Alligator mississippiensis: one gene and its partners. The protein of the gene in region 1 interacts with the protein of each later gene in a pairwise test. Links are inferred from orthologs where the notes say so. Each region holds a gene or a part of one and is shown in the gene's direction. Other genes may lie near its edges. The genes, in order: MAPK9, WDR62 and EFHC2.

Region 1 (3,746 bases):
CGGCAAGAGGGAGAGGGGGAAAAACACCTTGGCAAGACCCAGTTTGCTCTCCCGTCCAGCGTTCGCTCCTTGCCATGGCATGCCGGGAGCCGCGGGGTGAGGGGGACCGGCGGTCTGATCCGCTTAATGGCAGTTCTTTTGTTTTTTCTCTTGTGAATTACAGAAAATATACAGTATCTATTATTAACTCCATTTTTTTTAAATGAGGGACAGGCGGGCGGACCAGGCAATGCCATTTTTTTCTTCCTGGTGGATGCATTGTGGTAAAGAAGAGAGGTTGAGGTCACCACCTCGGGCAGCGTCATTTGTAGCAGTCTCTTGGTTTTCAGAGACCGCATCTTGCGGTGCAGCGGCAGGCGGCTTCTTCACTGCCGCCCCCGTGTCACGGGGCCGCGTCCTCCTCCCGCCTCGCCTGGCAGCGCTTCCTGGGTGGAGCAGGGTGACGGCACCCGGGGGTTTTGGTGACAGCTGCTGACACTGCCTCGCCTCACCCTGGCAGTTGGATGGGGGGGGTGACATCACCTCAGCTGACAACGGTGATTTGCCGTGTAAATAGCCCATCATTTGGCAGTGCACTTAGGTGTGTGGTGACATCACCAAGCTGGGGGCAGTTTGACGTGGGTGATGACATCAAGCTGGGGGCAGTTTGACATGGGTGATGACATTAAGCTAGGGGCAGTTTGACATGGGATGACATCACTAAGCTGGGGGCAGTTTGAAGTGGAATAACATCACCAAGCTGGGGGCAGTTTGATGTGAGTGATGACATCACCGAGATGTGGCAGTTTGATATGGGCGATGACATCAAGCTGGGGGCAGTTTGACATGGGATGACATCACTAAACTGGGGGTAGGTTGATGTGGGATAACATCACCAAGCTGGGGAGAGTTTGATGTGGAATGACATCACCGAGCTGGGGGCAGTCTGACGTGAGATGACATCACCAAGATGGGGCGAGCGTGACGTGCGCTGCTCGGGCCCAGCCCGGCCCGGAGCCGCCCTGTCTCCACTGCAGTCCCCTCCCTTATATAGTGTCTTGAGGAGGTCCCGCCTCCAGCCGGATTGGCTGAGCGCGCCCGGCGCCGCGCGACGATTGGACGGCGCGCGCGCCCGTCAGCCGGTCTGGCCTGGCGCGGCCTGCGAGGGGCAGGGGAGCCATTGTGGCTGGGGCGGCCCTGCGAGCCGGAGGCGCCGAGCGGGCACCCGAGCGCCGCCCGCCCGCCCGGCCTGGCCAGGCCGCCGCACGGTGAGGCGCGGAGCGGGGAGGCCGCGGGGGGGCGGGGCCTGGCGCGAAGTTTCCCTCAGCCGCGGGGGTCGCCGCTGCCGCCCCTCCCCGGCCGCGGCCTGCAGCCCCCCGCGGGGCAATTCGCTCTGCGGCCCAAGGGGTTTGGGAGCCGCCCTCGCCGCTCCAGGCTGGCTGGGGCCTCGGGGCTCCTGGGGTGGACGCTGGCGCCCGTGCCTGGGGCTGGCGGAGGATGCTGCGGGCAGGCTGGTTTCCCTGCCTGGGCGACGGGGACCCGGGAGCCTGTCCTTCCCGGCCCGCGCCGCGGAGGAGACGGGCGCTCGGCTCGCCTGAGGGGCGACAGCCAGGTCCCCCCGCACCCGCCAGGCTGCAGGTGTAGGGAAGGGGGACCGGAGACGGCACGGCTCGTCTCGGGGACCTCGTCTGTTCCTTGATAAACTTAAAAGGTTTTGCTCCTTTTCCCTCTTAGCTGGACCCTCCACCTGGGACGTCGCCGTCACGTCCTTCCCCTGTGTCCCGAGCGGCGCGGGCAGCGCTTCTCAAACCGCAGTAGCCCACTTGTCTCCCATGTAAGCTGATGTGACGTGAAGATCTACAGGGATCCCATCTGGTTAGTCAGCAAGCGCCGCTTCAACCCTGCTGTTACGGGTCACGCGTGTACGCCGTCACGTGCTCGCGGCGTTTCGTTGTCCGTCTTTGCCGTGCGGTCCGTAAAAGTCCTCCGGTGATTGTCACCGGCGCTTGTCAAAACAAAAAGAAATGCAAAACTCTGCCACTCGCGGTTCAGAGATGATACCTTTCATTCGACCGACTAAGCAATCGCCCTCCCCCCCCCATAAGTCTTTTTCTGCAAGCTTTCGGGCGCGCACCCCGCTTCCTCCGGCTCGGGGAAAATTCAAGCTGGTAAAAAGTCCCCATGGGTAGGAAAGCAACTTCATTTTGCACGGAGGAAGCTGAAGGTGGGAGTGCGCTCCTCGGGGTGTCTTTGTGAGTTGCTCTTCGATGTGCAGATCAGGCAGGGATCCTTCCCTTGGGGTGTCACGTGGCAGAAAGGCAGGGAGGTGTAGAAATCTTTCTTATGTTCAGCAATGAAGCTTTACCTCCAAAATTAGCTAAAATTCGGCATCTTCCATGTAACACATCTCTGTCAAACAAAATGGCTTTCAAATGGGATCATCCGATCTTGTGCCTGTTTTTAATTTAGTAGTACAAGGCTGCCGGGTCAAAATAATGATCCTGCAGCTTTTTCAATTGATGAAGATGTGTTGCATTCTCATTGTAAAGGGGTTGTCGCTGCTGTCCATCCTTCGGAGGACGGATGCCTGTTTCCTGTTTGTGTGTTGGTCCTTTTTAGATGAAGTAATATCACGATACCAGGTGCTGAAAACCTTTTTCTGAAATTGAAGGTTTATTTCTAAATTCCAGAGGACTCCTTTATATCGACTGATGTGAAACATGATGTTCATACTGGCGTACGTGGCGTACGTGATACTGTAGTCAGGTTGTTGACTGATATTCCTTGGCTTTCATGGACCATAGTCGGAACAGAGGCCAGTTTCCCAAAGTCGGGCATTCAAAGGGGGATAGGTCCACAAGGGACTCGGGCATGTAAGTCGATATGCAGGCACCATCAGCATTTGCAAAAAAATTTTTTAACCATGCAAGTGGCTAAAGTGTCTAGCACAAGCGTAGTAGACAAGCACAAAAGTGCCTGTGTCTTGCTGTTGCCAAGCAGCTTGGTACCCCTGCGCAAAGAGAAACTAGGTGATTTCCCCACTGATTTTTTTTTTTTTGTTTTCCTGCAGGGCCTGAACCATTAGACAAGCTCAGAGCTTACCTGTCTTGCCCAGAAGTGTGCTTCTTCTTGTTCAATTGTCCAGTTACGTCCAGTATTCCTATGAGAGCCAGACACCTTGTTTGAATCCTTGTGCCCAGCGTGAAGCTGGATCTAGACCTCTGCTTTTGCACAGGAGGAGGCTCTAACTGTAAATATTTGAGGATTCTCTTTTCACAGCTGTTCTGCTTTGCGTAATGAATTAAACATTTATTTGGCCAAGGAGAGAAAAAGTGAGTACAGCTTCATAGCGCAGTGGTAAGGAGCAGTCATGAGACATGTGGGAGAGTTGGGCTCTGTGAGGGACTTCATATTCGTGCATATATAGTTGAGTAACTTCATTAGGAGATACTGAAAGAGTCTCACTCCAGAATATCAGATAACCTCGTGGTTAGGGTTAGGGTCCTCTAATTTGAGAGAACTGGCGTCCCGTTCCTGCACTGTATTGGCAGAACAGAATTTGAAAACAGCTCACATCTCTCAGGTGATTGTCCTATTTGGGAATGGGAGGTCTCTTGTATTTTTTGTAAGAAAGGGCTGACTTGGTACAAGCAGCTAACTCAGTGAGACAGTTCACAACCGAGACTCTTGCATGGAGATAGGTGCTTAACTGCTCTTGGCTTAGGTTCTGCCTGGTCCTAGCCTTTCCATTGTTACCAGTTTGCCAC
Region 2 (3,746 bases), on another chromosome or scaffold:
CTTCCCCTCCTGTTCTGACTATTGCACTGCGCTCCCTCTGCTAGCCCTAGGGCGCACGACCACTTATCTCACCCACGCCGGGAACTGCTTGGGCAGCAGCTACAATTGGCAGGGCTCCATTTGCTAAGTCTAAGACAATGGAGCAGGAGTGTTACCAGTTAATAAGGACAATTTATTTCAAGATCTCGTTCTGTTCTGTTCTTGCATTACGGGGGGGCACAGCAAGCGTGTGGGGGTCTCTTGGGTGGTTACGGCATCGCACATGTTGCGTGGTGTCGATGGTTAGAGATCCCGTGCTGGACACGGGGGCGGTACCCGGGTTGTAGCTGTATGGGTCTAGAGGGAAAGGCAATCAGGACTCGTTGTAGAGGCGAGATCTTTTATTAGACCAGCAAGATTTTTGCAAGAAAAAAATAACGTCTTTAATTGAAAGCCTTCGGGCACAAGACGCCCTTCATCAGGCATCGGAGAAAAGATTGCGAACGCTGTCCTGGGCAGAAGTGAGAGTTCGCATTTCAGAGCATTGCACAGAGGAGTCATGGATGGAAAACTCCTCCGGGAAATTGGGGTGCGCATCCTAAGCAAGGAAATACGGTAACAGCCATTTCTGGATCCCGGGGCAAAAGGGGTGCCCTGCCTGCTGGTGGTGCTGGAAGCTGATACTGGATAACTGGCATTTTGAGGGGAAAAATTTCACCCTCCCCCTTTTTCCCTTTTAAAAACAAGGTGTTTTATGAGCGGGGGTGTTGTATGCGAGTAAATACGGTACTCCTTTTGGCCTCGTGACCCCGCAGTCCTGTTCTGCCCGGGGTACAAACGCTGCCCGCCCGCAGGGGCTGCCGCGACAAACACACCAGGCCTAAGAAAAAGTTATTTAAAAGTTTGCTCCAGGTGGAGGGGCTGGGGCTCGAACCGCCAACCCTAGCGCAAGAGGCGAGAAAAGGGGCGGGCCTACACAGGGCGCCACCATTGGCTGAGAGCGGCCGCGATTGACGCGCCTCTTGGCCACTGGAGGCCGCCCGTCGGCGGGGCACGAGTGTATGATGCAAACGCCGTTGCTATTGGCTGAGGCTGGACGGAGCGGCTCGGCAAGCGCGAGGGGAGGGCGGGACTTCATGTCAGCGCCGCCGCCATTGGCTGGGAGCGGGCGCTGAGTGGCGCGCGCGGTGCCCAATGGGGGGTGGGCGCGCGCGGTTCGGAGCGGTTGCGGGGGTTGGGTCCGGCCGGGCGAGCGGGAGATGGCGGCGGCCGACGGCGGCTACCACACACGGGGCCCCGGCTCCGGCGCCGACTCGCCGCCGCTCCTCAGCCTCCGGCGGAGGTCCAAGCACCAGGGGCCGGAGGAGGCGGTGAGGGGGCGGGGCTTCGAGGGAGGGGCGCCCCGTGACTCGTTAGGGGCGGGGCTTGGGTGTGGCGGACGGGGCTAGTGTGGAATAAGGGGTGGGGCTTGGAAACGTACAGGGTGGGCGGGGTTTGGATGACAATGGGAGCAGGGTGGGCGGGACTATAGTGAAGGAAGGGGCGGGGCTTGGGTGACAGGTGGGGATGTGCGTGGGCGGGTGGAGTTACGTGGATAACGGGAGCGCGGTGGGCGGGGCTAGGGGGTTAAAGGGGGCTGGGTGAGGCACAGGATGGGCGGGGCTACGCGAAGTAGGGGGCGGGGCTATTTGGACTAGGGGCGGGGCTGGTGAAAAGGGGCGGGGCTTTGCGAGGATGGGGGCTGAGCAGGCAGTGGAGATAGGGGTGCCTGGCCCAGGTGCTGGGCTTCACTGCCCCTCTCTCTGCTCTGGGCAGGTGATGCTGGAGAAAGTGCTGGGCATAACCGCGCAAACCAGCAGCGGCTTGGCCTGCGACCCCAACAGCGGGCGGATCGCCTACCCGGCCGGGTGAGTGTCTGGGCTGCTCGGGGAAGGCGGCGTGGGGTGTAGCCCCTCCGCGGGCCGGGCCGGCGGGATCCGCTCCCAAGTAGCCCCTCGCAGGCGGGGCCGCTACCCCCCGCAAGGGGAAACCCGCCGTTTCCCGCGGCAACTGGGAAACCCGCAGAATCGGGGACCGTGCTGTGCTGGAGTTGTGCAGCGCGCAGCTCCCGTGCTGGAACTGTCCCGCCCGATTCCTCGCGGGCTTGGTCGCTCTGGTCGCCTTTCTGTCAGTGGAGGCTGACATCGTAGGGCTGCTCGTGGGCGTACAAGTTAGATCTCCTGCTAGCACAGGGCGGGTGGTTATTTTGGGCCGAGGGCCACTTACTGAGTTTTGGCAAGCCATCGAGGGCCGCGTGACGGGCAGCCACGGGCAGAAAAATATTACATTTCTAAATTTTTTAGGGGCCTCGCGGGCTGCATTTTGCCCACCCCGTCCTAGGATCTGACCTGATATTGCAGTACCTGTAAGCCCCTAAATCAGGGGTTCTCAGGCCCGTTAGACTCGAGCCCCCCTTCTAAAAATGCCAGATCTTTGCTTTCGCTTGTGGCTTTTTTCTCTCTGCAGCAAACCCTCGACCCTTCCAAACTCTGACGGCGGCTTCTCCTCGACAGCCGCCACCACTGCGAACCAAACTGCATGTTCAGTAATGCAAATGCCTTGTCTGCTTTTTTTTCGTTTCAGATGTGTGGTTGTGATTTTAAATCCCCAAAAGAATAAACAAAGACACATCTTTAATACTTCCAGGTATTGTAAATACTTCATCTGCTGGCGTGTGGATAGCGTATAGGTCTCCAGATGTGCTTTTCGGGGGGGTTGGGCTGCTGAGGCCTATGGGATCATAGGAAAGTTGGCTTGGAAGGGACCTCAGGAGTGACGTCTAGTCCACCCCCCTCCTCCCAGCAGGATCAGCCCTGATTAACCCACCCCAGCCGTGTGCATCTCCACCCTGCTCTGGAAAATCTCCATGGATGTCACAGTTTTTCTAGGTAGCCTCTCCCAATGCTCGACTACCCTCCGAGTCAGAAAGTTCCTCCTCGTTACCAACCTCGGTTCCACCTGCTGCAGCTGGGGGCTGTTGCTCCTAGTCCTTTCTCCAGCCACAGAGAAAAGCCCATCCCCATCCCCTGTCGTCGCCCTGCAGAGATGTGAAGACTGTTATCAAATCCCACTTCGGTCTTCTCTTCTCCAGACTCAGTAACCCGAGCTCTTTCAACCTTTTCTCATCAGTCTTGCTTCCCAGGCCTTTCATCATTTATGTTGCTCTCTGCCGGACTCTTTCCAGTCTCCCTTTCCAATCTCTCATTCGGCTCCAAGCCGGGTTAAATGTACGACCAGCAACACTGCCCACAGCTACTGTCTGTGTGGTTCAAGTGGCATTGTGAGGGTGGTTAAACTAGTGTAAATGTTATGAATAACATTTCAGTGTAATCTGAAGATGTTCTCTCTCTCTTCCAGGAAGACACTCAGTGCTCTGTCTTTCTCACCCGATGGAAAATTCATTGTCACTGGTGAAGTGAGTTGTGCTATAGTATATTAACGTAGTCCTGTTGGTAATGAAGTGTCTGCTTTTTTGGCTAAGGCCAAATGCTCTGAAATCTGGGAGTAACTTCTTGGCTGCCATAGTAACACTAGGAACAATGTCCGTTTGGTACCTTTTTGGGTTGAAGAAGCCTTTCCAGGTTGGACACTACTTGAACTCTGGCCATTTGACCTGGTAATGCTTACTTTATGTTCTCACATACCACACGCACCTTTTCCCTCCCAAATCAGCCCCCCTAAATTGGGGTGTGTGCATTAAACAGACAAGCTGCCTTTTCTGCCTGGGA
Region 3 (3,746 bases), on another chromosome or scaffold:
TGGAGAGGAGACATCAAGCACCCCATGAAGCATGAGGTCATGGAAGAGGCGGTGTGTGGAAAACTGGAGCATGAACTGTGAAGATCCAGGGAGGAATTCATGAGTCTTTCACAGCTGGGTTTTATGAAAACTGGATGGTGAGTTTTTCAGAAGCACATGCATGTGTGCACATGTGTGTTCACACACACACGATGCACATCCACATGTGATCATCAGGGATCCTGGTTTTCTCTGATTTAAAAAAAATCCCCAATTTTTGGGTTAAAGAAGTAACCCAAAATCCACATCTTCCTGTGATCAAACCAAAACACTAATCCATAGACATATATATATAGCGGTGTTTCAGTTTGATCACAGCAAAATGTCGCTTTTTCTAACCCAAAAATTGGGGATTTTTTTTAATCAGAGAAAACCAGGATCCCCAGTCATCATGTGTACACATGTGATGCATGTACACTGCATGACATGCACACACACTCACACATGGCATGCCTACACACGATGCACATACACACATGATCACGTATACACACACACATGTACAAGCACCTGATCATGTCCGTGTGCGCACACGCACGCTTATGTGTGACATCCCTTCCCCCTCCAATCACAAAACTGCCTCAATGCAAGCAGCATGCGCAGGCGTGTTGTGTGTGTAATGGTTTAGGTTCCGCAGTGAATAATGGTCTAACCCTTATCACTACAGTGTGCACACGCGTGTGGACATGGTGAGGTTCACTGACTTGCCTCCCTGCTGTTAGACACCCCGGAGTGGAGTCCACCTCTCCATGTACTCACCCTTTACAGGAAGGCCAGGACTGGGGCTCTTCCCTCCAACCCCCCTCCCTTCCCCAAGCCCAGCTGTTCCCTTGCTCTTCTCCCCCTGCAGGACCTGGAGCCGTCGGAACAGCGCCCAATAGCACAAGATTTGCCCCGGTCGGAGTCAGTAGAGCGGTCAGCGGCAGCTGAGCCTGCGGTACCAAGGCCTGGGGCCGCGAAGCTACAGGGGGCAGCAGAGAGCAGGGGCGCCCTCAGACGCGCAGGCTCCCTCTGTGACGTCACAACGGGGCTCTAGGCAACGGGATGCGGCGCGGAGTCTTCCCTTTGTGACGTCACACCCCGGTCTCTAGGCAACGGGATGCCAAACAGCTCGCGCCGGGCCAGGTGTGGGGGTGCTCGGGCGGCAGCAGCGGGCCCCTCGGGGCCAGGGCTGGGGCGAGCATGGCGCTGCCGCTTCTGCCCGGGAACTCCTTCAACAGGAACGTGAGTGACAGCCGGGCCGGCGGCTCTCCCCCGCCCCCTTCACCCCCAGTCCCCGGCCGTATTGCTCCCGTGCATGGTCACTGGAAGCTGCGGCGACCTGCTGCTTGCAAGGCCTGGCTTCTGGGACCTTGTCAGGCACAGGCAGGGTGCGCGTGTGACCTCTGGGGCAGGGGGGTCAAGGGGCATGGCGGCTTTCAGCACCAGGTTGGCCCCTGCTCGGAGGGGATCGCCGAGCCCTAGGGAAGCAGGAGGTTACCTAGCCCCGAAAGTCAAGGAAAGTCCCCGTGGGGGTGCTGCCATTGCTGGGTTGGTGCCCCGAGGACTGACTGAAGGTGTAAGTTCATTCCCTGCTGTGTTTTGTGGTCACGGATGCTGCGATGCTATTATGCAGGTTTGCTTGCAGCAGGGTGAATGTGAGAGACCGAATGCCTGCCTGTGTTAGGCTTGCAGCAGATCGCTTCTTTGGACGGTCAGGGAAGTAGGTGCAGATGAGATCCGAGGCGCCAAACATTCTGTTCATTGACGGGGGTGCGGTTGTCTTCGTTGAAATCTGTGGCAAAATTCCTGTCATGCATGGACTGGACTAACAGCAGATATCGAAAGCAGACTTAGCTTAAATTCTGGAGTTTGCCATCTTTATTGTATTATTCAGGAGGTGAAATAGGAGCAAGAACAAAGTATTAGTGTATGCGGGTGTGTGTGCACACGCACGCATATATATACATACACATATATACGCACAGTTAGCTATTTCAGTCTGAAGTCAGTGGGATGGCAAGGCAGAGTGGCACATTATAGACTTAACTATTTCAGTCTATTTTAGTCTATAATTAGGTAGCCTATAAGGTGTCACTCTGCCGTGCCTTGTGTCTGTTATATATTGTTCTATAAGCACTCAAAAATTGCTTTTGTTTTTAAGTTGGAAAAGGAAATGCTTGGCACACAGGGAAGAATTGAGGAACTTAGCAGCTTCAACTCTTGTTATTTATATAACAAAGAAGAAAAGGAAGACAAATACACTGTAAACAGAGAATGTTTCAGAGTTAAACAAGTTAGGGATAATAATCCACAAGTTTGTAGTGTAGGTGTAGTGCCATAAGTACTTTTGACAATTTGTAAATCTATAAGACAGTATTTTTACAGCAAATTGTAAAATCAGAGTTGTTTCTCTTGTCTTGTGACATCTAGTTTAGAATATTTTGTAAAGAACTGGCTGGTGTGTATGTGGTTCCTCAGGTACCTTAGTGATGGGCCATGCATGGAAGAAGCACAGCTTAACCTAGTTTCTGATAGATAATATCCTGTTTTTGGTTTTTGAGCAGGATGCATAGAGTTGCCCCTTAAATTCTGAATAGAATTTTTGACAGCTGTGAAGTTTACATAGTCACAAATCTGACATGGTACTTAGCTTTACACACTAGAGGTCTAGATAGGGGATGCATACAAATGGTGGATGTGTTCAAATGCACATATATAAGTAGGCCTCTTTCTGCAGTCTGTGTTGTGAATGTATATATGCACACACACAATGCATATATAGTTCTGACAACTAACGATACAAAAACCAAGTCCCAGTTATAACAGTGAAACCAGATTAGGCTATTATTCAGAGCTTTAGTTCATCCCCTATTGTTATGCTTCCTACAGTTTGAATGCTCGGTAGTTGTAGAGAGGCAGTTCTACCTCCTGCTTCTGCTGTTGGCTGTTGGGCTTAATTTTTATCCATATAGTTTCACAAATTAAAGTCCAAAGAGGCCATATTCAAACAAACAGATGCTAGAACTATTTGGACTATGCCTACCACAGCTGCCATAACTTTCTCCATCTTCACCATGAGAATGGTAGATGCAGAGCAGCAGCAGAAGCAGCAGATGTTTTAGATGTCTGGAGGGCATTGCTTTCATACCGTAGGATGGAAACAAATGACATTTACTGCTACTACAAACCCTACCACCAGGCTGTGGATAAAACCAGCAACAGCAATAGTACTTCCAGGACAGGAATGACTGGTCTGGTCTTTGCTGCTCTTGTCACCCCCTGGTTTATTATTACTGCTGCTTTTTATGCTATTCCTCTTCTTGTTGCTCTGTGTATTGTCATTTAGTACTGCTACCATCACTTTTGCTGGTGGTACTGTTATTTCACTTGCTAAGCCAATGTGAAGGTCAATAGGAATGGCAGAAGGAGAAGCTGAAAAGTCTATTTTCCCTAATCTATACATGCGTAATCAGGAAATTTGTTTAATTGGGATTTCTCTCAGTGGATCTAGTTGAACTTTTGTGACAATTATTGGCAGTGACTCTAGCCTAATGGCAATCGTGACTGTGCTTGTTGGGGCCTGCAAAATGATTTTCTGGTGCTTAGGGCTTTGCGTCTTATTATAGTTTGGGTTCTGTACTTTTTTAAAATCTGCCAACAGTGCTCAGTGTCTCCTTAGCCATGAGACAGGCTTCATCACTTCTTGCTTCTTATTTTCATATCAG

What was found.
Region 2: the proteins of MAPK9 (region 1) and WDR62 interact in binary tests that used the Homo sapiens proteins (3 or more experiments, as listed by UniProt). The two-hybrid records come from large-scale screens. The link is inferred for Alligator mississippiensis from reciprocal best matches to the Homo sapiens genes MAPK9 and WDR62.
Region 3: the proteins of MAPK9 (region 1) and EFHC2 interact in binary tests that used the Homo sapiens proteins (3 or more experiments, as listed by UniProt). The two-hybrid records come from large-scale screens. The link is inferred for Alligator mississippiensis from reciprocal best matches to the Homo sapiens genes MAPK9 and EFHC2.

Annotation. Positions count from the first base shown.
Region 1 is NC_081832.1:73,863,325-73,867,070, reverse strand, and holds the start of MAPK9 (mitogen-activated protein kinase 9), read left to right. Parts: upstream 1-1,146; 5' UTR 1,147-1,247; intron 1,248-1,713; 5' UTR 1,714-1,854; intron 1,855-3,049; 5' UTR 3,050-3,229; exon of another isoform or gene 3,230-3,311; intron 3,312-3,746. UniProt on the Homo sapiens protein: Serine/threonine-protein kinase involved in various processes such as cell proliferation, differentiation, migration, transformation and programmed cell death.
Region 2 is NC_081838.1:953,474-957,219, reverse strand, and holds the start of WDR62 (WD repeat-containing protein 62), read left to right. Parts: upstream 1-1,194; 5' UTR 1,195-1,238; coding exon 1,239-1,349; intron 1,350-1,794; coding exon 1,795-1,886; intron 1,887-2,601; coding exon 2,602-2,664; intron 2,665-3,375; coding exon 3,376-3,433; intron 3,434-3,746. UniProt on the Homo sapiens protein: Required for cerebral cortical development. Plays a role in neuronal proliferation and migration.
Region 3 is NC_081824.1:302,541,983-302,545,728, forward strand, and holds the start of EFHC2 (EF-hand domain-containing family member C2), read left to right. Parts: upstream 1-1,061; 5' UTR 1,062-1,221; coding exon 1,222-1,263; intron 1,264-3,746. UniProt on the Homo sapiens protein: Microtubule inner protein (MIP) part of the dynein-decorated doublet microtubules (DMTs) in cilia axoneme, which is required for motile cilia beating.